Notamacropus eugenii: one gene and its partners. The protein of the gene in region 1 purifies or fractionates together with the protein of each later gene. This does not show direct contact. Links are inferred from orthologs where the notes say so. Each region holds a gene or a part of one and is shown in the gene's direction. Other genes may lie near its edges.

Evidence for each region.
Region 2: the proteins of TXNIP (region 1) and WWP1 purify together in Homo sapiens (affinity purification with mass spectrometry; 4 studies listed by BioGRID and IntAct, counting the BioPlex papers as one, with this or other methods). This does not show direct contact. The link is inferred for Notamacropus eugenii from reciprocal best matches to the Homo sapiens genes TXNIP and WWP1.
Region 3: the proteins of TXNIP (region 1) and WWP2 purify together in Homo sapiens (affinity purification with mass spectrometry; 3 studies listed by BioGRID and IntAct, with this or other methods). This does not show direct contact. The link is inferred for Notamacropus eugenii from reciprocal best matches to the Homo sapiens genes TXNIP and WWP2.
Region 4: the proteins of TXNIP (region 1) and HDAC1 purify together in Homo sapiens (affinity purification with western blotting; 3 studies listed by BioGRID, with this or other methods). This does not show direct contact. The link is inferred for Notamacropus eugenii from reciprocal best matches to the Homo sapiens genes TXNIP and HDAC1.

The regions. Positions count from the first base shown.
Region 1 is NC_092873.1:303,293,949-303,301,295, reverse strand, and holds the start of TXNIP (thioredoxin-interacting protein), read left to right. Parts: upstream 1-4,342; 5' UTR 4,343-4,756; coding exon 4,757-5,006; intron 5,007-5,390; coding exon 5,391-5,463; intron 5,464-5,575; coding exon 5,576-5,723; intron 5,724-6,118; coding exon 6,119-6,221; intron 6,222-6,336; coding exon 6,337-6,593; intron 6,594-6,710; coding exon 6,711-6,867; intron 6,868-6,974; coding exon 6,975-7,120; intron 7,121-7,242; coding exon 7,243-7,278; 3' UTR 7,279-7,347. UniProt on the Homo sapiens protein: May act as an oxidative stress mediator by inhibiting thioredoxin activity or by limiting its bioavailability.
Region 2 is NC_092875.1:168,486,714-168,494,622, reverse strand, and holds the start of WWP1 (NEDD4-like E3 ubiquitin-protein ligase WWP1), read left to right. Parts: upstream 1-4,908; 5' UTR 4,909-5,220; intron 5,221-7,909. UniProt on the Homo sapiens protein: E3 ubiquitin-protein ligase which accepts ubiquitin from an E2 ubiquitin-conjugating enzyme in the form of a thioester and then directly transfers the ubiquitin to targeted substrates.
Region 3 is NC_092872.1:709,228,254-709,235,216, forward strand, and holds the start of WWP2 (NEDD4-like E3 ubiquitin-protein ligase WWP2), read left to right. Parts: upstream 1-3,958; 5' UTR 3,959-4,799; coding exon 4,800-4,844; intron 4,845-6,963. UniProt on the Homo sapiens protein: E3 ubiquitin-protein ligase which accepts ubiquitin from an E2 ubiquitin-conjugating enzyme in the form of a thioester and then directly transfers the ubiquitin to targeted substrates.
Region 4 is NC_092876.1:77,578,645-77,586,385, reverse strand, and holds the start of HDAC1 (histone deacetylase 1), read left to right. Parts: upstream 1-4,727; 5' UTR 4,728-4,803; coding exon 4,804-4,852; intron 4,853-7,741. Other genes in the region: tyrosine-protein kinase Lck, read left to right, coding at 431-633. UniProt on the Homo sapiens protein: Histone deacetylase that catalyzes the deacetylation of lysine residues on the N-terminal part of the core histones (H2A, H2B, H3 and H4).

The DNA.
Region 1 (7,347 bases):
CATTGGTTAAGTGTTTACTATGTGCCAGGCACTGTGTAAGTTCTGGGGAAAAAAAGAAAAGCAAAAAACAGTTCCTGCTTTCAAGAAGTTGTCTGTCCACTGGGTTAGACAGTATGGAAATTTGAACTAAAGAGAATGAGGAATGGCATCTTGTAGAAGGTAGGATTTCAGCTAAGACTTAAAGGAAGCCAGGAGACAGAGATGACAAAGAAAAGATTTCCAGGCATGGGGATAGCCAGTGAAAATGCCCAACTGGAGAGATAAGTGTCTTGTTAGAAAAACTGCAGGAAAACCAAAGTCACTTAATGGAAGGGTGTGGGAATATAAAATTTAAGAGATCGGAAAAGGTAGATAGGGCCAACGTGTGAAGGATTTTGAATGTCAAATCCATTGTTCTTTTCACTGCCTCAGGGTGCATAAATATACTGTCCTAGTGACATAGCAGTTTGAGATCTCCAAAATTTCACAAAAGAATAAGACAGTAAATGCTTAACAATAAAACTTTATTTTGACTACATTTTGACTCATATAAGGAAAGGTATAAGGAGATACCCAGGGGCAGGAACAGAGAGCCAAGAGCAATAAGGGATGGATACAAGCAGGGCAACTCTAGGACACCTGGGGAAGGGATACATACACCCAGGGTGCAGGCAAAAGTTGTGAGTTTTATTGGGGGAAGTGGTTTTCCTGTCTCTGATATCACAAAATGGCTAGAGGATGTTGGCTATATAAACATAGCATATATACATTTTCAGAAAAGCACAGGGCTGCCAAGCCCAAGCAAGGGATATAATAATGAGAGGCACTCTTCAAAGAGAGGCTAGGTCCAAAAAAAAAAGGGGGGGGAGGAGGGCTTTATTTTGAGGACTATCATATATAAAGGCAAGGAAGGAAGGGCAAGACAAAGCTGAGAATCACTGAAAAATCTACTTAGGGTAGAATATAAAGTGCAGGGGGAACTAGTATGTGATGATGCTTAAAGCTATGTTGGGGTCTTGAATGACAGGATGAGAAGCATATATTTTATTCAATAAACAACAGGGAGCATCTAAAGGTTTTTTTAAAAAGAATAACATCTTATATACAAGGAAATTATTTTGATAGTAGTTTCAAAGATAAATTAGAGAAGGGGCAACCAATTAGGATAAGACAGTATTCTAGTTAAGAAGTAATGAGGACTTGAACTAGTTGTAGCATATCCCTTTACAGAATAGGAAACAAAAAGAATGCTCTGTCTTTTGAATTATTTCCCTGCTCTAAATCTATGACCTTATGGTCCTATATTCACGGCTCTCACTGAATATTGATAGAGGCCTGGTTAAGTCTACACTAGAAAAAATTCTTCCAAATTCAATTCTGTTTTACAAGTATCCTTAACTCTACTACTACCACCAAGGTCAATCTTCATAGTTATGAGATGCCCTCTCTTTCATCCAGGCCTCCTATTTTCCCCTAAAGTGAAATTCCCTCTAAAAAGGTGGGGGAGGGATAGGGAGAGGAAGGAGGGAAAGAAATTAAATGAGTAGTCAGAGAGGGAAGTTATGGATATTGGGAGTCACAAATACAACTGGAGGTGCATAGTGGAGCAACAAACTCATGGGCTGAGGCTACTAGATTTCTTAAATCCCTGAGGCCAAGGCCTGAGGTTGAACAGGGCAGCTTGTAACTTGTCTCTGCCCAACAGCAGACTAATCAGTGAGGACACCTTATTCCTTAAGATCTTGGCTTGTATTCAACACCTCCACCCAAAGAAAAGCAAACAAACAACAATCACTTTTTAGTTTCCCTCTGACTCAAGTGAAGAAAACCGAGGCCTGAAAAGAAAAAGGTGCACTAATATGCAAAGTTCTTGTACCTAGCACTACTGTGCAGCCCCTCCCAAGTTTATCCCCTTCTTGTACCCTCAATGCGCTTCTTTTGGGAAAAGGAATTTGCAGAATTTTCTCTTTCCTCAACCCAAGAACTGGGGGGAAGATTCTGGAGGCTGATTTTATTTTTTTTTAGCAGGTTATCAAGGGAAAGGTTGTAAACAACCCTGTTGTTGAGGGTGCCGTTTCAGAAAATATCTTGGCCGAAGGCCCTGGCAAGTTATTACTGCCAAAGCTAAATAGTTTTTTGACATTCAAGGCAAGCTTGGCATAACAGGGAGCATATCCATACCACTCAGGTCTGCAAAGAGTGGCGATAACAGAAAAATACGTAAGAAAAATACCCAGGACAAAGACAGATTTATTGTAGGATATGGAAAAAGAGTTGGATTCAGCATTTCATGGTTATGCCCAGATAAATATCAGTGTTTTTAACTTCTCCAAGAAGTCTTCTATAATACTACAGCTTCAATTACTCTGTAGCTCTTCTCTACCTTCGATACTCATATGCACAATAATTAAACTTTAATTTACAGTCTGATGTATTTTGTGTTTTTATGTTGTTTTTTTCTTTTTGTTCGTTCTCTACTATCTAAAAGCAAATCCTTCAGCGTTAAGGACTGTGAAACATCACACCAAGACTGACCTGGGAACTCAATCACTGCTCTTCACTGACAAAAACACCCTCTATTTTGTTAGGTAACTGTACAACAGAGTGCTACTTCTAACCCACACACCCCCTGGGATCAAGATGTTCCTGGGGCTAATTCCGTTCTTTCTTACCAATTAAGTCATCAAGCCTCATCCCGGAACTTTCTCCTCTTCGATTGTAATTTGCTAGCCTGAGGGTGTTATCACAATTGGGGTGTGAGATGAAGGAATTAAGGTCCTTATCATCATAGGAAAAAAATAGTGGAGGAAGTGGGGTTCCATTCCATTCTACTGCCTTTCTATATGTTCTCAGACTTTTGGACATCAGCATCCCCTTCTGACCAGGAGGACTGAAGCAAATTTCAGATATCCACAAATAGAAAAGACAGGGAGCCTAAGAAAGGAAAGATGAACTGCATCTAAAAATAAAAGTTCTAATTATAACAGAGTTTTTGGCCTTAGTAGGACTAACTTTCAATAGTCATCTTCTAAGATCTTATGGCCAACTCATTCAGGGGAAAACCCACCTGATAGAGAGATCCAAATTAAGCCTCCTGAAAGCACAGCACACAATAGGATATTAGTTAGACTTTCTGGAGACTTCCAAATCTGCTTCCTCTTCCCTTCATTTCTTCATTTTCTAAAGGCTTTTGGAAAAAGTAGTGATCAATAATCATATATATACTTGAAAAAAACAACTGTTCTGTTGTGCTTAGGATTGCTTCTTCCATGAGCTGAGACACAAGTTTTTCTCCTTCATCTTGAGGTTGGTTTTCCCCCTTTTTGGGGGGCTGCGGGAGCGTGTAGGGAGGGCAGAGGGTGCCAGAGCAGGGGGTGCCAGCTGGCTCAGAGAGCGCTTAGGTCAGGCATTAGAGATGGGTGGAGGATCCTATGGCTTTGTCAGGTGTGAAGCAAGATTGGCCAAGCAGATGCTTGGGGATAAACGCACTATATTCGCTGTATTCCTCAAAGGGGCGACCAGGTACATGGGGGCATGGACACAGTGTCCCCCCTGCTCTACAGGGAAAGACGACGCAGAGATGGGGGGTTAAGCCACACACCCTTCTTGTTTCCCTTTCAAAAAGAACAGGGTGGTTGAGGAGGGGAGGGGGAAAAGAAGGTGAGGAAAGGCAATAATCCTTGTGAGGAAGCCAGGAGCTGAAGGAAAGGGGGGTGAGAAAACTCACGCCCCCCAATGTCCAATTTGGGGGCTCAGACTGAAGAGAAAGTTGACAGACACCAGTGACCCCCCCCTTTTTTCTCTAAGTTTTCTGGGGAGGGTTTGCCTGAAAAAGGAATTCTCCCTCCGTCCCCATTCCTTCAATTCTCAATTTAATGGAGAACTTTCCAGGGTTTCTGTGGGAATGTCTTTGAGGAAAGTCGCCTAAATTGGGTGAACAGAGGACAGTCAGAGATGACTCGAGATCTGAGGGGCCTGAGCAAGGTTGGGTTACCCTAAAGTTAGCCTCGCGCACTAAAGAGAAGCCTGCCATGCCCCTGGGGGGCTTTTCCCCTTTCACCCAAAAACGCCAGTCCTTGACATCAACACCCGCCCTCCGACGTCTATTAGAACGCTGATAGGCTTAGGGGCAATCCCTTCGCCCTCCTTTCATTTGTCTCCAGGGACGTCGCTCAAGAACCCCTCCGCCCCCTCCTTCCTCGGAGGAAACCGTGCACAACAACCGTTTACCCCGCCAGGGGCACACTGTGTCCACGCGCTCCAGGCCGCGCGCTGATTGGCTGTGTCCCTGGTAAACAAGGAAAAGGCAGCCAATGGGAAGATTGTGCACGAGGACAGCACGAGCCACCTCGCAGGCCCTCGCGTGGCTCCGACAGTTAGAGCCCTATATAGGGCTGTTTCCGCCTGCTCCTTGAGTCAATCCCTAGAGCGCTGCCTTCGGACCTGTGCTTTCTCGTCCCCAGATTTCGGGGAGGGGCATTTCCTTAAAACTCCTTTTGGTCTCAGACACGAAGCCTTTTTTTTCTTTCGAAGTCCCTTGACTTATATTTTCTAGGCTTTTCTACTTTTTAAAAGTTTGCAAAGGCTGATTTGAGAGGCTCTTCGATTTCTTAGAATCCAAGCGCCCAGCCTGTCAGCGGACAAGCCCATCCAGACCAGGGAGACCGAACTGTCCGTCCTCCGCTTAACCGGAAAGGTTAAATCCTCCTTCGGCTCTCTCTCTCGAGAAACTTTATTCCTTGTCTGCCCCGTTCTCTGAGTGACCCAACCCCCAGCTATGGTGATGTTCAAGAAAATCAAGACTTTCGAGGTGGTCTTCAGCGACCCCGACAAGGTGTACAGCAGTGGGGAGAAGGTGGCCGGCCGGGTGGTGGTGGAGGTGTGCGAGGTGACCCGGGTCAAGGCGGTCAGGATCCTGGCCTGCGGAGTGGCCAAAGTGCTGTGGCTGCAGGGCTCGCAGCAGTGCAAGCAGGTGGTGGACTACCTGCGCTACGAGGACACGCTCCTGCTGGAAGACCAGCCCGCAGGTAAGGGGCGCGCCCTGCAGGGCGGGGGTGGGGGGAGGGCCCCAGCTGTTAGAAAGGGAGCCCTGGGGCACTGTTCTGGGGGGGGGCGGGGGGAGCTGAATCTTTGTCCTTGCATCTGGCCAAGTGAGGAGTATTCCCAGCCTTCGCTTGAGCTAAGCTGCAGTGCCTTGGATGCTTAACGAAGTCTCAGTGTTAGAGCTGGTTTCAGGGTCGGCGCTTTGGACTCCTTTACATCATTAACCTTTCCTTTCGGGAGACTGGAATGTAGTTAGTTTCAGAAAATGGTCCTTATATTGTTTAGGCATTTCTGCATTTAAAATAAGATCAGTACCACTTTTTTAGTAAGTCTAATGGTGGATCTTTTTTTTTTTCCTTTCCCTGAAGCTAACGATGAGTTTGTGATCCTGAGACCTGGAAACAAGTATGAGTACAAGTTCGGCTTTGAACTTCCTCAAGGGTAGGTGTTAGCTCTGCTGTCCTTTTCTTTAAAACCTCCCTTCCCTTAGGCACCCAAGGTTTCTTGATGGTTGAGTAATCTAAAAGGAATCGTTCTCTTTATTCCACCCTAGGCCTCTGGGAACCTCATTCAAGGGGAAGTATGGCTGTGTAGACTACTGGGTAAAGGCTTTCCTAGACCGTCCCAGCCAGCCAACTCAAGAAACCAAGAAGTACTTTGAAGTGGTAGATCCAGTGGATGTTAATACTCCTGATTTGATGGTAAGCTTTCCCAATAGGCTTAAGTCTTGAGTAGTGAGAGATCTTAGGAAGCAGGAACCCTGCCTCTTGACAAGGCGTATACTGAAAATAAAAATCTAATCTTTAGCTTAAAATGAAAGTGAATAAACATTTAACTCTTAAAGTTTCTGACAGCAGTATAGTCTCACTAAACCCTACAAAACCTGGTTGTCATGACCATTGACAAAGATGTTCAAGCAGAGCTTAGAGGAGAGTATAATTATGGTAGATGATGATACTGCAGGTCTTATCTAATATTACATGATAATGGACTAGAATCTCAGGAGATAGAGGTCCTCATAATGAAAAGCAGGAGCCATCTTTACTTGGCAATTCTCAGAAACTTTAACAAAGATTTCTTTATTTTCCCTATTCAGGCACCTGTGTCTGCCAAAAAGGAGAAAAAAGTTTCTTGCCTGTTTATTCCTGATGGGAGGGTATCTGTCTCTGCCCGGATTGACCGAAAAGGATTTTGTGAAGGTAAGAGAAGTCTGGGCTTGGGAGAGGCAGCTATTGCATAGTGTTGGGGAAGGGTTATGAGCCATAAATCATCAGCTATACAGTCTTTAGTAACAAAAATCAATGCTTTTGTCAGGTGATGAAATCTCCATCAATGCTGACTTTGAGAATACGTGTTCCCGAATCGTTATGCCAAAGGCTGCTATTGTTGCCCGCCACACTTACCTTGCCAATGGCCAGACCAAGGTGTTGACCCAAAAGCTATCTTCTGTTCGAGGCAACCATATCATTTCTGGCACCTGTGAATCATGGCGTGGCAAAAGCCTTCGTGTACAGAAGATTAAACCCTCCATCCTTGGCTGCAACATCCTTCGTGTTGAATACTCTTTATTGGTGAGTGAGTCTGTCTCTGGGATTAGGGTAAATTGATCATTGAATCAAGCAGTTTTATATTTATATGTCATGGCACTCTGGTGTAACAGAAACAATTTTTTTCTTTCCTATATATAGATCTATGTCAGTGTCCCTGGATCTAAGAAGGTCATTCTTGACCTGCCCCTAGTCATCGGCAGCAGGTCAGGACTCAGTAGTCGGACATCCAGCATGGCTAGCCGAACCAGCTCTGAAATGAGTTGGGTGGATCTAAACATCCCTGACACTCCAGAAGGTGAGCCAAAGTAGTATACCCCTGTACTCCTATTTTCCCACCAAAGATTCCTGGAAATCAGAATTTGGTTGTCTGAGTTGTTTATTTTCTCTATTTTCTCTATGCAGCACCTCCTTGCTACACGGATATTATTCCTGAAGATCACAGACTGGAGAGCCCCACCACTCCTCTCCTTGATGATAGCTCTCTGGACAGCCCCATCTTTATGTATGCATCCCAGTTCAAGTTTATGCCTCCACCCACTTACACTGAGGTGAGAATTATTACCTTCATTGAATGAAGGTGGAGGTGGGGGTTCCCAACTTACATATTCTGATTCCCCTGCTTCTCTCCTACCCTCTAAATCTAAAACCATCTTTCTTTTTTCCCTTCTAGGTGGATCCCTGTATTGTGAACAACAATGTGCAGTGAATGTACCAAAGAAGAGAAGCAGCTGTTTATCTACCTGTTTCTTTCTGTCTCTCCTGGACTGCTTTTTCA
Region 2 (7,909 bases), on another chromosome or scaffold:
TGTGAAAGGTATGAAAGGTACCACTGTCCATTCCCTATTTTTTAAAATCTTGTGACCTTTTTATTCAGGTTAAGTATCTTTATGGAATTTATTATGATAGATTGTGTGAAATGTTGGTCTAAATTGTAATTTGTCAAACTTTTTTTTTTCAACTTTTCTTAGTTAGGCAAGGTAACATAAGCATTTATTAAATGCTTATTTACTATGCTTCAGGCCCTCTGCTAGCAAAAAGAAAGACAGACCCTGCCTCAAGGAGCTTACATTTTATTAAGACAACGTACAAAAGGGAGCTGAAAAGTAGAGGACAAGGAGGAGAGAGTGTTTCAGTGTAATTCTTATCAAATTAGGAATTCTAGTAATTTGTGTTCATGGGTTTATTAAACATTGGATTACTGTATTTGTTCACTTCCTGTTCTTGCTTGTCTAGTTTGTCCCACTAACCCACTTTTCTATTTTTTAACTGGTTTTGATTGTGACTAAATTACAATGTAGTCTGAGGTCTAATAATGTTATGCTTCCTTCATTGTATTTCCCATGAGACACTTGTCTTTTTGTTCTTTTAGATAAATTTTGTTATTTCTTTCTAGCTTTATGATGTATGTCCCAAATGTCTTAGTAGTTTTAAGCTTTAATAGCTATTAAAGTTAAATCTGTATATTAATTTAGGTAGTGCCATCATTTTTATTACAATGGCAAAGCTAAATCACAACCACTGAATGTCTTCAATTATTTGTTTCCTTTTATTTCTGTAAAGAGTGCTTTGTGGTTTATATAAATGGTTCATCCTACTTCTACAATATCTCTAATATTTCTCCCTTTCTCTCTACTCCCTATGGCCACCACTTTAATTCAGTTCCTCGTCAATTCTCAATTGGATTGTTGCAATAGCTTTTTAATTTGTCATCTGCTTCCAGTCTCTTCCCTCTAAAATTCATTCTTTATATAGTTCCCAAATTGGTACTCTTAAAGCAAAGTTCTAATCATGTCATTTCCTTGATCAAGAAATTCCAGTGACTCCCTATTTCCCCTAAGATAAAAATTCAGAGATTCCTCTGCTTGATATTTAGCCCTTCATAATCTCGTCCCAGTCTATCTTTCTAGATATTTTACGTTAACTTCTTCATGCCAGTCAAATAGGCCCACTTGCTGTTCTGTAGATACAACATTCCATCTCCTACCTCTAGGCTTTTGCATAGACTCTCCCTACATCTTGAATGCCCTCACTCACTTCGCTGGCTCCTTTCAAGGTCCAGCTCAGATGTTATTTCAAATCCGAGGCTTTTCCTGATCTCCCATTTGTTAGGGCTCTATTCAACCTCCGCACTCCCCTCCCTCCAATCACTTTATAATTTACCTGTTTTGCATTTTGTGTTCATTTATTTGTATATATGCTTTTTTATCCAGCAGCAGATAAGCTTTTTGAGAGCAAAGTCTACTTTATTTTAATCTTTTTAGCCATAATACTTGACACAGTGCCTTGAATTTATATTTGGGAATTTTTCTTTGACTAAGAATGTAAAATTGAAAATTTATTTTAATTCTATTAAGCTAAATTGTAATCAAGATGTATTTAATATTCCCTTTCACTGTTCCTTCACCCACTAACCACATCCCAGAGAAACTTGGTCAACCTTTTGTCTTGTAATTACCCCTATCTTTGTAACCCCACCTATCACCCACTTTCCAAAGAAACTTGAATAACCTAAAAGGTCAAATCTCATCAATTTAAGCTATTGTAGCAACTCCCATTTGAGGAGAATCTTTATCTTGTGACTCAAATCACCTATCTTGGTTGTGGTAAATGGGGCAGCTGCGGGGCAGGAGCAAGAGAGACCCATCTTCCTGAGTTCAATTCCAGCCTCAGACACTTAGTACCTATGTGACCCTGGGCAAGTCACTTAATCCTGTTTGCCTCAGTTTCCTCATTTGTAAAAATGGCAAGTCACACCCATATTTTTGTTACAAAAACCCCAAATGGGATCATAATGAGTCAAATACAACTGAATAACAACAAGGGGCTTTTAGAAGGGGAGAAAGAAATGATATAATCTTAATTCTGACTATGTCATCAATAGCCAATCAGAAGACACATCTGTACTGCTCAAGATTTTGCTCTGTCATCTTAGTAATTGTTACAAAAGACCCTGTCAGTCCTCACTCAAGGTCTTTGGTTACTGAGACACCATAGACCCAATTTATTGTTTACTGTTGGCCTAACTAATAAATTAATGATACCTGGAACTTTGTCTCTTAGTTTACCTTCATTTTCAAATGTAACAAATTGAACCAAATGACTTCTGAAGTCTGTTCCAACTCTGGAATTTTATATTTCTACTGATTCAAGTTGGACTTGAAGCTGGAAAATTTTCAAGAATAGGTCTTGTGATGGGCTTTATAGCTGTTGTCAGAGGACAAGTTTAGCTAATTTTAGAGAGGTCTATTATCTAGTTGGCCAAACAGTGATGAATTTTTGGCCATGGCAACTCTGAAATACCATTTATTAAATTATAGAGGTATAGTACTCTGCAGCAGAGAAGGATATACCTATACTGATGACATTACAGATCTCTGAGGTTTTGAAGTATGGACTGACAAACAGAATCTCCCACGGTTTGATTCACATCATCTTGGATATGTAGGCATTCAATAGCAGTAGGAAAGCTTGGGTGGAAATCTTGCTCTGACATTTACCAACTATGTGACCTTAGTCTTCACTTAATCTCTTTCAGCCTCATTTTCTTAGTTTTTAAAATGATGATGATACCTATGTGACTATACCCACAACTTAATATTTACCAAGTAACACATCAATTAAGATACAGTTGTGACAAAGACCAAAAGAGATAAAATATGTACAATACAAACGTTGAAGTGTCATATAAATACCAGTTATAATAATTATAGTAACTCCCTCACAGGGTTGCTGTGGGGATCAAATGGGATTGTGTTGAGGCTTAGGGGTGCTTAGGACCCCAAAATACCAACACGCCAGGTCCTGTCTGAATGAATTCGACTCAAGCCTTCTTTCAGCCAAAGAAAAGTAAATTTTATTAAATACCGGCCATATTTGGTAGACTCTTAAGGAACCTAAGCATTTGTGACACTTGTATTGACAAATGGGCCAGACTGAATCCGAGCTAGATAGAATCTTAGCACCTTCAGGGAGGCAAGATGTTTATATACAGAAAGGCTATGGGAGGAATCTAGGGGTGGCCAGATAGTCTGGGGTGATGGGAGGAGGGGCTTAGAGAGGGTTTGAGGAGAAGTCTAAGGAGGCTTTGATGGGACTGGGCTGATTAGAGGTCAAAACCAAGACAGTGGGATTTTGATGGGAAGCAGACAGAGGCAGTCCAGAGCTAACAGACAGAGGAGGGCTAGGCTAGATTACCGGTATTTTGATGGGATCAAGGATGGGAAGCAACCAGAGGCAATTAGACAAGGAGGTAATGAAAGGCTTAGGGCCAGGCCAGATCCACTGAAGATTCAAGGAGAGTTCAAGGGGGTTCCCAGAAGCCTGTACCCTATCAATAGTCTATATGAAGCATTTTGCGAACCTTAAACACTACGTTTTAGCTAATAGTGTTATTATAACTGTAGCACCTGTGCCTGAATGGGCTCGGGTGGTCTCCTAAACTAGGACAGTGTGATAAAAATGTATCAGATACAGTTACATGTTTGCCAATCTTCTTCTGTGTAATAGGGTTGGAAGGAGAGCTAAGCTGGCTGACATGAAACTTGTTCTTATCCGCTAGACTGGGTTGGTACTACTCAAGCACTTTGCCTTCCTCCTCTCTCCCCTAGCAATCCTGAGCCCCAACACGCCATACCCCTAGACTGCAAATGCACTGAAGGACACGGACAGGGCTCTCTTCTCCACAGAAGTGGAGCTCCACTCCTCCTGAAATGCCTTCGGGATCTCTGGTCACCCGGGGGCAGCCCGGGCCCACGCCGCGCGGGTAGAACACGTGGGCAGCCACCACACACTCACTGCTTGTTGGGGATTCCTTCTTGGGGCTGTTCCCTTATTTCTGAAGAGCGGGTGCACCGGGCCGCCTCAATCCCATTCCCTCTCCCACAGAGGCCTCGGCTGAGGCAGCTCAGACCGGGGCTGTCGTTCGCAGAACTTTGGGAGGAATGCCTTCATCACGCAAAGCTGGGGGAGGGAAGGAGCCACGGCTTTAACTTCCGCAAGTATCTGCAAAGAGAACGCTTTTTCGACTTGCAGATGGAAGAACGAGTGCCCCTGGCGGAGCGATCCCGCTGAAGTCCAGGTCGCCGGTCGTGGCCAGGTGAGGCCAGGTGAGGCCAGGTGCTCCGGCCTGGGGCCTCCCGGGGGGCGGGGTGATCCAGCAGAGGTGGCGGACACCGTCCTTCGCGCGGGGCCTGGGGTCACGTCCCGCTCGTTTTCCGCTCCCGCCGCTGGGCCGTGCCTCGGGTTTCTCCAACTGAAGCCAGCGCTCCGGCTGGCAAACTTGAGAGTCGGAGCCCCGGCTCTGCCCCGCTTCCTTTCCCGGGTCTCCGCGGGAGCTCCGCCCCTCTTCAGGTTCAGTCCTCCGCTCAGCGCTCGCTACGGCCTCCGCCCCCCACCCCCAACGCCCCCTCACTGCTGGGAAGACCAGGACAAGTTAAAGCTTTCACTCGGAGCCGTGTCCCGGTGGAAGCTCTTGCGCATGCTCAGAGAGCCGGCTTCTGGCTCAGCCCGGATTTGTCCGCGGCGGCCGTGGCGGCGCCCCGCGCGCTCCCGGGCAGGACGCGCGCGAGAGGACGGCGGGGTAGGGGGAAAGCCTCTGAGTGCGCTCCCGAGTGCGGTGGAGAGGGGAGTGGATGGGGCGCCGCTGCGCGTGCTCCCGGGCATAGTGACGGGGGGCGGGGACGCGCTCTCGGGGCGCGGCGCCGCGGACTAGGGGACGGACGGCGCTCGCTCCCGCGGAAGGAGGTGTGGGCTTGGACTCGGGCGGTGCGGGGTTCGGGGTTGAGGGTTGGGGTGGGGGGGAAGGGGGCCCCAAGGTCTGCGGTCTCCCCTGCCCGTGGGTCCGTGCGGCTGCAGGCGGCCTGCACCGCCGAGGGGCCGACGCCGGGCGGGTGCCGCTGGGAGATGGCCATCCTTGACTCCGAGGGGTGAGGAGAGCCGCCACCGGCTACTGAAGGAAGAGGAGGCGCCGCCGCCGCCGCCACCTCCCGGGCCGGCGGGCGAGGGAGGCGGACCGGCCGCGAGCCTCGGTAAGGACGCGGCGGGGCTCGGGCGGCGGGGCCCGGGCGGCGCAGCGGGCGTCCCTTCGCGGGCCGGGCTGGGGTTCGGGGCTCGGGCCCTCCCCGTCCCCTGGCCGCCCCCGTGCTCCCACCCCCTCGGGCCAGGCGGGGAGGGGGCGGGAAGGAGGGCTCCGGGGAAGGGGAGGGCGGCGCTCGTCCTCCTTCTCGAGTGGGTTCGTGGGTCTTTTCCTGAATGGGACCCGCCAGAGGCCCGCGTTCGTGTCCCGGAGCGGGGAGAGTGTTTTCGTGCGCCCGCGGTCCCGGGCTGCCTGCCGGCTTCTCTGCTCCGTCTCTGCCTCTGCCTCTCCCTCGGTCGCCCTTTTAATAATCTCCTCACCTTCCATGTCCGGGGCGCCCACCCGAGCCCAGCATTTTTCCGTGGCGTGTTGGTGTTGCTCCGCAGACTTCACCGCGCCGTTCCCCTGGCGCACCCCCTTCTGTGACCCTGCGGTTCCCCATGACCTTGCCGTTTTTATTCATCTCCACAATATCATCTTCCCTCTCTCTTTCCCTTCCCCCTCCCAATGTTTCGTCCGTGTCGTTTCTCCATCACCCCTTTGGCATCGGAGCGCTCTTTGGGGGTGTCTGCTTTGGGTTGTCTTAGACATTGACGAAGAAACATTGTCCATTTGCTTTGGCATTCCTGCTTCTCTGGACTTCTAGTAATCTGGTTTTGATTTCTCCTTTTAAAATGTTTTGTGTTGTGTAGGCAAACATGAATAAAGCGGGAAGTGATTTCTATTTCCACATAACACATAAAGTACATTAGAGGTAGGTGTGAAGAAGAGAAGCTTTACAAAGAAATTATTTTGACTTCTGTAACCAGAAACATCTAGTGTGTACTGCACATATAGGTTTATTTTAGTCTGTAGCTTCTTGAAAAATGGCATACGTGGAAAACTGTTAATTTAGGTTCACACTGCCCCACTAAGTCTGTTAATTTAAACTAAACAGGGAAATCAGAAGTACAGTGTATCAAACATTCAAAAGAAAGTGACTTTCAGAAAGACTTTGATTTGGGTGATTTTAAGTAGCAAAATACTTAATGACAAGTTAATTTTCATAGAAGTGACCTTTATAATAATTCCTAGCTAGTTAGCTTTAAAAAAATTAAACTTAATAGTGAACTGATAGGGACTGCTCACTGGACTCCTTTGGTAGTCCAATAAAGCCTATAAACCCCTTCTCAGAATGTTTTTAAATGCATAAAATAAATACGTATGAAAGAGGAACAAGCATTTTGGGTGGTGGGATGGGAGTGGGGAGAAAAATCATTTATGAGGATCCAACTGTGTGCTGGACATTAAGTCCTAAGGGCTTTACAAATGTTTTTCACATTTGATCTTCAAAGCAATCCTTTGAGTTAGGAATTCTTGTTATTCTCGTTTTACAGTTGAAGAAACTGAGCCAGAAAGAAGTTTTAAGTGATTTGCCCAGGGTCACACTTGAATTTCAGGACTTCCCGACTCCAAGTACAGTGCTCTATCCCCTGCGCTGCCTATTTAGTTAGAAAACCAATTATATTGAAATACAGTTATGTAAGTTTTTTTAAGTTCCTGGACCTTGGAAGAGATACAGAAATAATGCATAAATTTTATTCCTTTGTTTTTAACGTTAATAGTATGGTTATAATGTACTATTTTTATAACTCAATGTAAAAAAGGTTTTGTCTTCCAAAAGCATCATTTTGAGTTACAATAAATCAGTCACCAAGTATTTACTAAGGACTAACCATGTTTCAGCCATTGTGTCCCGTGTTGAGAAAGAAAGACAAAAATGAAATTCCATGCCCTTAGTCTGTCAACTCATTTATTATGCACCTGCTGTGTGCCAGGCAGTTTGCTAAATGCTGGGGATAAAAAGAAAGCCAAGAGACAATCCCTTCTGTTAAGGTTCTTACAGTCTAATTTGGGAGACCATATACAAACCTCTGTGTACAAACAAGATTACAGCTAATTGGAGATCATTAAGGTAGGGAAGGCACTAGCATTAAGGGGAATCTTTAAAGTCTTCTTGCTGCATATGGTACTTTAGCTGATAACTTGAAGAAAGTCAAGGAAGTTAGGAGGTGTAGTTGAGAAGGAAGAATTAAGGTTGTGGAATACAGCCATTGAAAAAACTTGGAATCCAGAAATGGAGTGTCAAGTTCAGGAGGGGGAAAAATCCAGCAAAGGAGGTCAGTGTCAGTGGATCTCAGTTTCTTCATGGGGGAGGGGGGAAGGTAGGTAAGGTATAAAAAAAATGGAAGGTAGAAAGGGGCCAGGTTATGGAGGGCTTTCTAAGTCAAAGAGGATTTTATATTTCATTCTAGGGGTGATAGGGAGGCACTGGAGTTGGTTAAAGGGGGTGTTGACATGGTCAGACTTTTGTTTTAGGAAGATTACTTTGACAGGTGAGTGGAGGGTAGACTGGAATGGGGAAAGACTTGAAGCAGGGAGAACAATCAGCAGGGTATTGCAATAGCAGGTGCATGAAGTAATAAGATCATGAACCAGGGTGGTGGTAGTGTAGGAGCACAGGGAGCCTATGTAAGAGATGTTATAAAGGTAGAAACAGAACTTTGCAATCAGTTGGATATGGGTGAAAGTGTGGAATCCAGGATGACATTTGGGTTGCAAGGTTGCAGCCTGGTGATTGGATGATGTTACCTTGGAAAAAA
Region 3 (6,963 bases), on another chromosome or scaffold:
GGGCCTTTATCAGAGATACCTGTTGCAAAAAAATTTCACTGGTTTTCTGCTTTCCTTATAATTTTGGTTGCATTGATTTTGTTTGTGCAAAAGCTTTAAAATTTCATATAATCAAAATTATCTATTTTACATTTTGTAATGTTCTCTATATCTTCTTTGGTCCTAAAATCTTCCCTTATTCATAAACCTGTCAGATATGCTGTTTAATTTTCTCTTAATTTGTTTGTGGTATCACCCTCTGTGTGTAAATCATGTACCCATTTTGACTTTATCTTGGTATATAGTATGAAATGTTGGTCTATATACCTGGTTTCTGCCACATTGTTTTCCAATTTTCTAGCAGTTTTTATCAAATAATGAATTTTTGTTCCAAAAACTCAGATCTTTGAGTTTATCATATGCTAGGTTACTATGGTCATTTACTATAATGTAATTTGTACCCAATCTATTCCACTGATCTACCATTCTATTTCTTAGTCTGTTTTTGATTGTTTTGATAATTATTGCTTCATAATACAGTTTGAAATCTAGTATGGCTGGACCACTTTATTTTGCATTTTTTTTCATTGATTTCCTTGCTATCCCTGAGCTTTTGTTCTTCCAGATGAGTTTTGTTATTTTTTTCTAGCTTTATAAAATAATTTTTGATCATTTGATTGGTATGGCACTGAATGAATAAGTTAATTTAGGTAGAACTGTCATTTTTATATTGGCTCATGAGCAATTAATATTTTTCCAATTGTTTAGACCAGAATTAAAAATCTGGCCTCAGACACTTACTCGCTATGTGACCCTGGACAAGTCACTTAACTCTGTTTTCCTCAGTTTTCTCATTTGTGAAATGAACTGGAGAAGGAAATGGCAAACCACTCCAATGTCTTTATCAAGAAAACCCTAAAAGAGGTCACGAAAAAGTTGGACATGGGCGAACAACAACAATTGATAAACATTTACTGTATGCCAGGCACCCTACTATGCTCTAGGGATAAAAATGGGAAACAGAAAGTCTGTATACTACAGGAAATCAGAATCTAACTTGGGAAGACAACAAAGGAAACTGACAAGGGGTGGGGCTGGGGGACTGTGAGAGGAGTCCGAAGGAGTATGCAGTCCAGCAGGAAAAGAAGACTTGGCTTGCCTGGTACCCCTTAATTGGAGGGTTTGGGAGGAGCTCTTTGTTTTGCCTTCCAATCAGAACCGAGGAAGTGTGAGTAACAAGGCTGAAGAGATTTTACAGGATGATGTGGTTCCTGGGGTGTGATGAACTAAGTACAAAGGGGTGTGGGAAAAGTCCAGAGTGGTCAGCTGGGAAATGAGTCAGCACATCCCATTGTGCTGTGCACATCCCGTTTAAATCCATGCTAACATGCTAGGTGGATGGAGAGGTTTAAGTCAATGAGATGGGTTGAATGCTGGACTTGGTGTCAAAAAGACCTGAATTCAAATCCTGCCTTAGAGGCTTATTAATGGTGTGACCCTGGGCAAGTCCTGTAACCTCATAAACCTTCACTCTCTTAATCTGTAAATTGAAGGTAATAATAGCATTTGCCTTACAGGGTTATTACATAGATATATGTAAAGCATTTTGCAAACCTTAAGGGACTATAGAACTAAAGTGGCTTTAATCCTGCTCTTGGTCATGCTGCCTGGCAACAGCAGGTATCTGGAAAATTCTGTCCATCATCTTCCTTTTCTTACTTAGTCTAATTTCTGACCACCTATTATAGGCATTCTTTTATTGAACAGTCAAGAAAACTTACGATCACTGTTCCATAGAACTGATAAGTGTTAGAAACATGCTTGACACTGAAAAAGTATGAAGAAAAATGTATTAGAGTTCAGAGGAATTGAACACTTTAGCCAAAGTAGACTCTTCAAAAAGGGGAAGAGAGAGAGATACAGAAGCTAATGCATTTTTATAATGTTAGTGAAGGACAGATTCTCCCACCAGAGGATGGATTGGTCCATTCTCTTTCAGGTCACAATCTTTTGACATGCCCACTGTATGTCATTAAGCAAGCACAGCTGGATTTTTTAGGTTGCCCTACCAGTGACTCCAGCTGGCTTAAGCTGGACCAATTTCCTTCTGAAAGCCGCTAACCGTTTTCTGATTGATCAGGGTCTCCTGCAGTTTTTATTCAGTAACCTTAGGGGCTAACAACCTTTATGGACATTTAACCCCTGCTTTCTCTTGCAAGTTTCTAACTTTTTTCACCTGACCGTGCTAGGTTACAACTAGTCTGACTATTATCACTCAAAGCTGGAAGTTTCTACCCTGTGGAAACAGAACTCTTTCCTTTGTTTCCTACATAAGGAATAATGCTACCTAGCAAGCCTATTCACCCCGACAGAAGGAGGCAACCATGGTACATCTCCAGGAGTAAGTTTTTAGACATGGACACTGTGAAAATGTGTTTTGTTGACCGTGCAGTTTTGCTTTTCCGTCTTTCTTTTCTCAATTCCCCTCTCCCCACTGAGGTAGGAGATGTAGAAAATAAATGCTTGTTAATTGAAAAAAACATATAATTAAAAATCAATAGAACTGCTCATGTGGCTGAAACCTACAGGTGTAATGTTTCCTGCCTCCTCTCACCCCACAGGAAAGGCTCCCCTGGTCCTTTGGATAACCCCCCTCAGCAGCTGGAATCACCCCCAATATGGTGAATGCCTTTGGAAGTGGAACTGTCCCATAAATATGTCTGGTGCCTGTTTTTGTATCCCCAGAACGGAGCACAGTCCCTGGAATGCTGCTTTTTGCTTGTTTCCACTTGTGTCTGAGTCTTCCTGACCCCTTTGGGGAATTTTCTTGGCAAAGCTACTAGAGTGATTTGTTATACTCCTCTCCATCTCATTTTACAGATGCGGAAACTGAGGCAAACAGGGTTAAGTGACTTGACCAGGGTCACGCAGCTAGTAAGTGTCTGAGGCTGGATTTGAACTCAGGTCCTCCTGACTAGAGCACTGTGCCACCTAGTCGCCCCAATACCGGGTAGACAATAAATGTTTATTGGATTGAATTGAATCTGTATCCCCAGCTAGGTACAGTATCAACTGTAAGCGCTTAACAAATTATTTCTCATTCATTCATTCATTCTAGAACTTTCTCCAAGAAAAAGATGCCTCTTGTGGGTCCTGGCACTGGGGATGGAGCCCAGAACATAACAAGGAACCAAACGGAGCTCCTGCCCTCAGGGAGCTTGGACTCTAAAGCGGGCTGCAGCTCGAGTTCAAGGTTAATTCTGAATAAATATAAAGAAACTGGGAAAGGGGCTGGCTCCCCGCAAGCCTCGCCCCCGCCCCGCCCAACTCCTGGCGCCCTCCAGCGCTCTCGGCTTCGCCTGCCCACACTTGTGTGGGCCGGGCTCGCCTCTTCCGGGTCAGGTGACCAACAATGGCCACCTGACCCGGCCCGAGTTCCAGCTGTCGAAGGCGGAAGTAGAAGAGGAGTTCGGCGCCGCTGCTTGGCCTGCTGCAGGTAGGGATCTAGCCTCGGAGCCGGGCCGGGCGGGCGGGCCCCGGGAGGGTCGGGCAGCCCGGGCCGGGGCGGGCCGAGGCTTGGCTGCCGGCTTTTGAGGCGGGGGGAGGCGGCTTCCTGTGGGAGGGGCCTGGGACGGTGGTTCCGGCCTCTGAGGAGGGGTTTGTCTATACACCCACTTTGGGAGGCTCGGGGGGAGGGGAAGGGAGGGGGCGGGAGCGTCCCGCGGAGAGCCGGGGGCAGGGCAGGGCCCGGCGCCGGTGACCTGGGGGCGGGGGCTGGCAAGGGGCTGGCAAGGGGCATCTCTTAAGCGCCTACTGTGTGCCGGGATCCCCGGAAAGGCAAAAAGCGGACAGTCCTCAGGCTGGAGGAGCTGAGAGTGTGAGAAGCCGGGGGCGAAGGTCGTGGGGAGGGAGCCCTGGCTGCTCCTGCTCCGGCCGCTGCCCCCCCCTCCGCTCCCCTCCCCCCTCCCCCCTCCCCCCTCCGCTCCCCTCCCCCTCCCCCTCCGGCAGGGTTCCCTCGGTCCGCTTCATCTTTCCGCGTCTCCTGCCTCCGACGCCCCGGTTTTTCCACTCGTGCCGGCGTCCCCGCTCTCCAGAGATCATCTTTCCTGGCAGCCTCCTTTAGCCCAGCTCACCCTGCAGGCTTCCAGAATAGAATAAATAAAATAGAACCCGGAAGAGCCGTGCGCCCGGCCCGGCCCGGAAGCAGCCCTCGGGTCCCGGCCGTCCCAACTCTACAGGCGGCTTCCTGCTCACGTCCTGCGTTCCCTCTTTATTTTTCTCTTGTGTCCGAGCTGAATTATTGAGTCCAGTCCGGTCCTGCCTGCCTTGGTAACAGATCCGCAGGGCTGAGCCGGAGAGACCTTTGTTCCTGTGGGTAAAGACGGGGACTCAGAGAAGTAGCTTTTCCTTGTCCCCCCGTGCACTTGCTGTATGTAGGATGTCTGTGTGAACGCATAGGTTTACGTGTAAATCCGCATTGATATAGATTTGTATATTCTGTATGCTTCTATAAATTTATGTAAGGTAGCACTCTGCAGTAATTCATTTTAGTTAATTCATTTTAATTAATTTTAAACTCTTACCACTGTCCCCCAGAAGTTTGGATATTCATGATGAAGCCCAAGTGAAAGGCAGTTTTGAAAATAAAATAAGCTTTAATTCTTTTTAAACCAAAATTATTTAAAGGATTTCAGGAAGGAAAGGGTCTAGATTGTAGCTCTACTCTGCCTCCATAAATGGTATTTATGAGTTTCAGTGGTCAGAAACATGGTGACTTTACCTTTAGTGATGAGACTCTACAAAATTAGGTTGAGCCTTGGATGTACAGTCTGTTGAAGTATCTGCATATGAAGTCTTCCAGACAGGTGAGACGTGTAAGAGTGTATTTTCTACTGATGTAGCTTTTAATGAATGAAAAATCACTTGTTAAGCACTTTTTTATGTGTCAGGGTAAGGGGCTTTGGTCCAGAAAGTTACAGGTGAGCCAACCTAAAGATCCCAAGGTCACTTCTGTGCCCCAGATTAAACATGAGAGTAGGTTTTAGAGCTTGTGAGGGCCCTGAAGATCATCTGTAGTCCAGCCATCTCCTTTTACAGATGAGCAAAGGAGGCCCAGAGGGGGGAAAAGATTTGCCCAAGGTCACATAGTCACATAGGCGACTGAGCAAGGATTTGCACTGAGGTGCTCTGTTGCCAAATTTCCCTTTCTGTCCACTCAATAATGCTGCAGTTTTGTGGAAGATTACAAGCCTTAAATAGGAACTAAAATCCTACAAAATGCACATAATGTTTTGTAATATTTTGGGGTTGGAAAATTATTGCTTCAATTCCTTTTATGGGAGAAAAACTCAGTACTTTGCACCTATCAGAGTCAATTTCGTGATTACTTTGAAGTATTGTAAAAAGAGGGCTTTGAATACCTTTCATGTTTTTTTCTCAAATGCATATAGGTCCCTACTCCAGCTTGCTTTTGGTTTAGAACAAGACTGAGTGTCTCAAAACAGTAGACATCTCTTTATAAATAAGAGACAGAGGTAGTCATATTCCTAGCTCTTCCTCAGCGCCCTTTTGTGTCCTCTATGTGGTTGCTTCATTTTTAGTTTAAATGCCTATTTAAACTTATCTACTTTATTTACCTCCGTTTTGTGGCTTTGTTACCAAAATTTGAAAACATGAAATTGGCATGTTGAAATCTGTCACTGACCAGAAGATTCATGGTGGGCCTAGGCATAGTTGTTGGCAAGTAGTAGAAATAGCAGTAATGCTTCTAGTCTCATTTAATTCCCAAAACATCCAATGGCATAGGCAGGGCGGTTGGCGTTCCCATTTTGAGGTGAGTAAACCTAGAATCAGAAGGACTTGGCCAGGGTCCTTTGGCAAGTGACAGTGAAATTGAGAATCCAGATCTTTTGATTGTTTACTCCTTTGCCCCAAACATAGTTAGACAAGGTTATCTATTTTTGGGCACCAGTTCTAAGTTATTACTTCATTATTTCCAAGGAAAGGGGAGGGGAAACTTTAGCTATCATTAGTAGCTCTTTGTTTCCTGGAGGAAACACTATGCATCTTAAAGAGTCTATTCTGCTAGATGTTAAATTTTCAAGCCAAACAACTTTATTCTGTGTTACAACACGTTGTTTAATTTCCAATTGAAGTTTATTAAAAGTTAGTTTAGTACTTCTGGAAATTTTATATCCCAGCATGTTGTCTTTGATGATGGGATTGGGGATGGGGGTAAGGGTGGCTCGGGATAACCATCTGCCAGGCACTATGCTAAACTCTTTACAAATTTTATCTCACTTAATCCTCACAACCACCTGGGAGGTAGACGCTGTTATTATTGCCTCTGTATCTAGGGAACAGACAGAGGTTATGTGATTTGCCCAGGGTCACACAGTTGAGAACTGTTTGAGATTGGCTTTGAACTTAAGGTTTCCTGAGTTTCAGGCCCAGTGCCTGGTCTACTGGTCTTTTACACACAGTTGGTGCCTTTTAAATAGTTGTTGAATTGAAAGAGATTGATTTTAATTGGATTTGTTCTTTATTTAGGGAGTCCTTAAGAAACTTGGAAGTTTCTCCTGAAAAGTCTTGAGCTGTTTTGGTAGGAAGGCTGTCCCTCCCTGGGTGCCGTCTGGCCTACAGAGAAAGATTTCAATAGTGGCTTGTGGGCTTTGGGGTGTCAGGAGGGTGTTTGTAGGAGTAGTGTTACTTATGACCACAATCGTAGGAAGTAATAGATAAAGTTGTTTTCAAGGATCTTTGGAGTAGGTTTTGTTTTGTTTTTCCTATACAGATTCCGGAATTTCTTTGAGGTTCAGGAAAATGGAAAATCTGCTCATAGAATTGAAAGTGGGCTAATCTCACTATTCCACACATTTGCTTTGGCTGTCCCCCATCCCTGGAATGCTATCCCTGCTCACCTCAACCTTGTAGCTTCTCTGACTTCATTCCAGACGCAACTCAAAGCCCAGCCTCCCCCCTTTC
Region 4 (7,741 bases), on another chromosome or scaffold:
GTCACACCTCTCTCCAGGTTTAGGGGTGGGGTCCAGAAAGAAAACATTTTACAAGCTCAGAACTACTTCTTAGACCCATTTTATCAGAATTAAGGCCATACTTTAGGCTAACCCAGCTAGAGTGGGGGGACAAAGGTCTCTTTCAATTCTGGGGTACGTTCCTGGGGATAGGTGAGGGAATTGGGGGGAGGGAAGGGAAAGTAATCAGAACAGTGATGGATGAGTACTTCTTGGTGACATTGTAGAGGGTGATGATGAGAAACTTGTGATGTATTCTAGATGGCCCCTTAATCTTTAGGCCTTGGAGAGAAATGGGTTAGATCATCTCTAAGGTCCTTGGAGACTCTGATCTCCTAAACCCTCATTCTATATACTATCCAGCCCCCTCAGCCCTGACCTGAACACTTATTTTCTACCCCAAAATGACTAGGAATGACCAACCCTGAGGTGATTCAGAACCTGGAGCAAGGCTATCGGATGGTGAGGCCTGACAACTGCCCAGAAGAACTATACAAACTTATGATGCTGTGCTGGAAGGAGAGGCCTGAGGATCGGCCCACCTTTGATTACCTGAGGAGTGTCTTGGAGGACTTCTTCACTGCCACAGAGGGCCAGTACCAGCCCCAGCCATGACCTTCCTATTTTGGTCTCTCCCATCCCAGTCCCTGGCCCACCTCCCCAGCTTTACTCTTGCCTCCTAAATGACCCCACTCAGACTGAGGCAGGGAAGAATCTGGCAGAAGACAGAGGGCCTCAGGATGGAGGTATGGGGCACCAACATCTCAGCCATCACACTTGTGACTCCATTACCTGCCGAGGAAGGAAGACAGCAGAAGACTTGGCATTGGGCTTGTCCTTTGCGTGCCCCACCCCCAACATGTGGTCTCCCAGACTGACTCCCTACCTCTGTCCTCTCCCTGATTTCTCAGGGCCAGAGGAGAAGCCTGGACTTTGCCCCAGCCCTTTGACTCTTTTGTCTATGTGTTCACCCAGAGTGGATTCACTGTCTCAGTTTCCATAAAATTCATATTCTTAGCAGCCTTTTGAGAGCAGGGATTGTTCTTCTACATTTCTGCATCTTTCTCAGACCCTGCCTGGCACATAAAGGATATCCAATAAATGTTAGCTAAGAATGGTGACTCTCTCTACCCACCACCACTCCTCGACCCCAAAATAGTCCCTCAGCACTCATCCCTGGGCTGTGAGGAAGGGACGTGCAGAACAGGGTGGTAGGATAGAGTGGAGTATTGAGATGGCACAGTGGATAGAGCATGGGGCCTAGACTCAGGAGGACCTGAGTTCAAATCCAGCCTCGGACATCCTTTCTGTCTCTGTGACCCTAGGCAATTTTCTCATCTGTAAAAGGAACTGAAGAAGGAAATTCAAACCACTTCAGTTTCTTTGTCAAGAAAACCACCACAAATGGGGGCACAGAGTCAGATATGACTAAAATTATGGGTAGGATAGAGGGAAGGGTAGGAATAGGATCTTGAGAATTTCTGGGGATGCATCCCTGCTCTGAGAAACTTTCTTCTCTCTGAGTCTCACTTTTCTCATCTTTAAAAAACCCCTCAAATGTTTGAATTGGAGAAAGTGATTTAAGAGCTTTAGAGTGCTATGGAAGGTTCAGGTGTCTTTGTGCATATTCCACCAAAAGTGTTTGCCCTTTGAGAGCCCCTGATAACCCCTAGGAGGCAAGATCAGGAGCCTAGCCAGGAGAGTCCCCACTACAGATGAGTCTCTTGGACAATGGTGTTCCCCTCCCGAGCAAATCTTCCATCCTGAACCCCTGATCTCATCCTGGGATAATAATGATAGCTTATTTTAGGGTAGCATTTTAGAGCCTCAGAGCAATGATAATAATAGCTAAATATATATATTGATTTTTAAGATTCGTAAAATAATTAACATGTGTTATCTAAGTCAATCTTGACAATTTTACAGATGAGGAGACTGAGACTGAGAGGGGTAAATGAGTCAGGATTTGAATTCATGTCTTCCTGGCTGTAGGTGCAGCACTCTATCCACTGTGCCACCTAGCTGCCTTTAAAAACAATGTCACCAAACAATTTCTTTTCAATACTAGGCTTCCTGTTACTGTGGTTTGTCCATTCTCGAAGAGGATCATGACATCAGGGAGGCGACGTCATGACATGCCAGTGAACTGGATTTAAGTGAGGCAGGGCTGTGCAAAGTCACCAGCCTCACTTTCTCCTCCAGAGCCATCTGGGTCCAGTGGCCAGATACGGATCAGGACGACTGGCAAATACTTGGAATCCTTGTTGATGGGGAAAAAAAAAAAAACCCTGAGATTGCTGGCTTGCTTTTGAGCAAGAGTTCTGAGCTGTAGTCCGTTAAAATCAGTTGGGTGTCCATATTAAGTCCAGCACCAATTTAGTGAGCCCCTGGGAGTCAGGAGGCTTGGCTTGCTAGGTGGCTCAGTGGATAGAGCTGCAATCAGCAAACTGAGTTCAAATGTGACCTGAGACATGTACTAGCAGTTTAACCCAGGGCAAGACACTTAAATGCTGTCCGCCTGAATTTCTTTAACTGTAAAATGGAGATAATTATAGTGCCTACTTCCCATGGTTGTAGTGAGGATCAATTGGGATAATATTTGTAAAGTGTTTAGCACAATGCCTGGCACATAGCAGGTACTTAGGAAATGCCTATTCTTTTCTCTGCCTCTCTCCTCCCCTCTTTTGAATCTTAATTTCCTCATTTATAAAATAGGGACCTTAAAGACCATTTAGTCCAAGCACCTCATTTTACAGATAAGGAAACTGAGACCTAAGATGATTGTGAGAGTCTTGCCGAAGTAAGTAAAACATTTTGAATTTGAACCTAGATTATCTGACTTCAGAGCCAGGCTTTTCCATTGTATCATTATACGAGACTCAAGTGAGATTGTTTTGGTAAAATACTTTGAAAACTTTAAAACCCTACATGTCAGTTATTATGAATACTATTATTATCTAGTCCAGCCCTCTAATTTTTCAAATAGGAAAACTGAGACCTAGAGAGGGATAATAACTTCCCCAAGGTCAATTGCTAAGCCATTAATACAGTTAGGATTTGAATACAGGGACCTTGACTGAGTACAGCAGCTGCACATAGTAGGTGCTTATGTTGAATGAAATTAGACCTACATATAATAATCTGTTGCTGGGCTAGTCAATTAACCTTTTAGCGTCCTTCCAGACTTCTCTTTCCCAGGCAATTCTCTGACTATAATTTGGTAGAAGGAGTTATCTTACTGGGCATTCCTTACTTAGATAAGATCACCCCCACAGTCTGGGGGGTAAAAAAGAAAGAAAAAAAGGAAGCAAGAAATGTCACAAGGAAGTCAAAGACAAGAGAAGCTCAGCATACATCAAAATACTTAAAGTAGCATATTTGGGGGTAGCAAAGAACAGGAAACAAAGTAGATGCCTGTTCACTGGAGAATGGCTGGTTAGTCTTTATTTTAAAATATTTTTTCCAATTACAAGTAAAAACAAATTTTAACATTCATTTTTTAAAAATTTTGAGTTCCAAATTCTCTCCCTTCTCTCTTTCCTCTTTGAGAAGGCAAGCAATTTGATATCTGTTGTACACACACAGTCATGCAAAACATATCCTTATTAGTCATGTTGTGAAAGAATTGGTCTTTGAAAGTAAGGGAATATATTTCTGTACTCCAAGAAAGAACCAATATGATGAATACAGAGAAACACTAAAAGACTTACATGAACTGGTGCAGACTGAAATAAACAGAGCCAAGAAAAACAATTTACACAGTGACAATAACAATGTAACCAGAAGGAACAGCCACAAGACAATCCAAAGTAACTGTTGCAGAATTACAAAGAACAGTCCTGCCTCTAAAAGAAGACTGGAGAAAACATCCTGTTCTGCTCCTCTGCAGAGGTAGAAAGTCTATGGTGTTGAATTTGACAGATATTTTCAAATATTTTCCCCCATGCATTGATTGATTTTGCTGATTTCCTCACTTTTTTCCCTTTAAAAATATTATTTTCTCTTTTTAGGAAGGGAATGGGATGGAATTCTAGGAGAAATTTAAGTGACATAAAAACAAAAGATGTCAATACAATTTTTATTTTTAAAAAAAAGCAGCTCCATGAGACAAGGCAGTGAGGCATTATATTCATTTTACAGATGAGATAAAGAAGATTGAGGCCCAAGGAGGGGAAGTGACTTTTCTCGTCATAGGATTTGGTGCTGGAAGGGGGGGGGGTGTCTTTAGTCCGATACCATTTTATAGAGGAGAAAACTGAGGCTTAGGGATTTTCTCAAGATTAGGAAACAAGCAAGTAGTCTAGACAGGATTCGAACCTTCCATCTACCAACTGAAACTGAGGACTTCCTTCCACTAAACGACAAAGCCCTCTTCAAATTCACCCCTCCCCCCAGTGAGTGGAGCAGCCTCCCCCCACCCCCGCCTTGAACCCAGGTCTCCAGACGTTCAAGGCACATTTAAAGAAAGGGCCAATGCCAGGTTGCCCCTCCGCGGCCCCCCAGTTTCAATGCGCTGTGGTACAGTCTGTGGCCAGAGGGCGCCCCCCAGCTTTCACACGTGGTATCACCGGAGAGTGTCCGGGCCGGCTTCTTTCCCAGCCTCCTAGCCCGGAGCCAACTTCCGGGGTGGGGATGCTGAGGGGTGATTGGTTGTCGTTTCGTCAAGCCTGGCCGGACACTGGTAGATGAGCGGGGAGGGGGCGGGCGGAATGAAGGGGACCGCGCCCCCTCCCTCAGGTTGGACGTAGTGCGGCGCCGCGGGCTGGCGCGAGGGTGCGAGGCAAGATGGCGCTGACTCAGGGCACGAAGCGGAAAGTCTGTTACTACTACGACGGTGAGTGAGGCCGGCCAGGGCTGGGGGGCTTGAGGGGACCAGACCGGGGGGATGGGACCCCGAGGGGGCAGACCTGGGAGGAGGGGACTCTGAGAGAACAGGACTGGGGGGAAGGGAGCCTGGGAGACTGGAGGGAGGAGAAGGGACCAAGGGGACGGGGCGGGGGAGGGGGGGAGCCTGGGGGGAGAGGAGACTAAAGGGGGGCAGGATGGGGGAGGATCCCAAGGTGGGGCAGGAGACTGAGGGGGGGGGAAGACGAGGGGGGAAAGGAGACTAAGAGGGGGAGGGGAGACTGAGGGGGGCAGGACTGGGGGGAGGACCCTAAAGGGGGGAAGGGAGACTGAAGGGGGAGCAGGACTAGGGGGAAGAGGAGACTAAGCGGGGCAGAAGGGAGGAGGATCCCAAGGGGGGAGGGGAAACTGAGGGGGGCAGGACCAGGGGGGAGAGGAGACCAAGGGGGTCAGGACGGAGGGGAGGACACTAAGGTGGGGGAGAGGGGACTGAGTGGGGGGAGGACTAGGGGGGAGAGGAGCCTGACGGGGAGGAGAGACGCGGAGAGGCAGGACTTGGCGGGGGAAGGAAGGCTAAGGGGGGGAGGGGAGCTGAGGTGGAGAGGAAACTGGGGGGGGCAGGACCAAGGAGAGGAAACGGGGGTCAAGACTGGGAGAGAGAGGAGTCTTGCGGGCAAAGTGGGGTGGTGGAGGGGGGACAGGACTGCCGGGTAGGGTAGCCTGAGGGAGAGAGGAAAGAAAGGGGGAGGCAGGGCTAAGGGGGTAGGGAGCCTGGAGGGAAAAGGAGGCTGAGGTGGGCAATTCTATGGAGGGAGAGGAGCAGGAGTGGGGGAGTTTGAGGAGGACTTAAGAACTAGATGGGGGGAGGGGACTGAAGAAAGGACTAGGGGGAGGGAACAGGAATGGGGGGAGGGGACTCTTGAGAATTGGACTGGGGGGAGGGGAGCCTGCCAGGAGGCTAGGACCGGGATGGATGGGAGGAGGGAAGCTGGAGGGGACTGGAGTAGGGAGGGGAGGTGGGGGGAAGGATTCAAGGGGTCGAAACTTCCAGGCAGGAAGGGGGAGGGTGTCTGGTCGGGAGCAGTATCCTAGAAGTGGAAGGGGAGATGTCTAAGTTACAGATTTGGGAAAGGAATTAGGCTGGAGAAAAGACATAACTGGGGGCTGGTGTGATATGGAGCCGTTGAGCTCTCTAGCCTAGCTGAAGACATGAGGCTTCTGTAGAATGGGGGGGAAGGAGAGAAAACTCCAGAAGTGCATTCCATACTTCTATTCACAAATCATTCCTCCTCCTGTTTATGGAAAATATTGCTTTGTGTTTCAAAGGACCAGCTATCAAATTCTTCTTAACTGGGTTGACTCCTTCCTTTGGAAGTCTAGAGACATTGTGAGTGACTGGTCAGGGCTGTTCAACACTTTGTTACCCCTCAGCCCTTTTGTGATGAGACCCTAATAATCTGTCTCCCCCAAGACTGGCACTGGACTTGGCTAGTGGCACCTGTTGCAGAGAGATAGTTCCGAGGGATGGGAGTGGTTATGTGTTGATTTACAAGCCTGAATTATCCTTGGGAGCTCTTAAGACTTTACTTCCTAAAACATATCCAAAGGTTGGTACAGTGAAAGAACACTGGACAAGGAGCCTCGATCTCTACTAACTTAAATGTGTGAGCATGGTAGATACATCACAATTTCTTTGGATCTCAGTTTCCTGGTCTTTAAAATGAGTATAATAATGCCTGCCTACTTCACTGGATTGCTGTGGGAATGAACTGATGTAAAAGCTTTGAAGAGTTAAAGAACGAGAACAAAAAACCCCAACCCTCTAAAAGGGGGTGATCATTATTTTTCAAGTATTTATAACACTTTTAGTAAGCTCATAATGAATGCTTGTTAACTTTCATATTGTAGAGATGAATTGGGAGGGCTTAATGATAGCTCACTTTAATTTTACTTTAATTTCTGACAATTCTCTCTTTCACCCGGTCTTGAGTCAATAAGTAGCCCAGTGCCTCTAAACCAGATCAAATACCTATTCTCTCCCATCCTTCTCATCTCTCTGCTTCTCCCTTTCCAGCTTTGGAGTGATAATCAAAATAAACTTTTTTTGCTCTCCTATGGGGTGTGGCAGCCTTGTTTCCCTCTGGATCCTCTCAGACTTCTTGGCCTCCTGTGTAACCTGTCTTCTATCAGAATGTAAACTCCTTGAGAGTGGGGAGTGTGTACATGTTCCATGCTTTTGTATTTGTATCCTCTCACTTTGCACTCGATTCTTTTTTTTTTTTTTTAAGAAAGCCTTAGAGGGAAGTTAGTTGTCCCTGGTAACACCATTGTTAAGTGGAAGTGCTGGGTTATAAATCCTAATATCTTGATATCTTTTTTTCTTGTCCTGAAAGGAATACTCCCTGGCTGTACATAACAATAATAATAATATTTATGTGGGACCTACTATGTACTACCAGGCACTGGATAAGCATTTCACAATTATTGTCTCATTTGGTCTTTACACTAATTCTTCCAGGCAGGATTATTTACCCCTATTTTACAGTTGAGGAAACTGAGAGGTTAAGTGACTTGCCCCACACAGCTAGTATGGGATTGAGAGGGAGATTTGAACCCAGTTCATCCTTGACTCTATCCACTGTACCACATACTTTCCATTTACTTTCAGAAGAACTCCTTATTCAAAAATGAGGTTTACTGGAAGCTTGGTTCAGTCTTATGCCTGAGATAGAAGAGCTGGCGGCAAGTGGGCATATTTTATTTAAATTCAGCAAGTATTTGTTAGGCTTGATATTTGCCAAGCCCTGTACTAGATTGACAGTGTGGACAGGAACAAATGAAAAAATGAAGGTTCACTTAAAGGGATTACTTTGGGGGC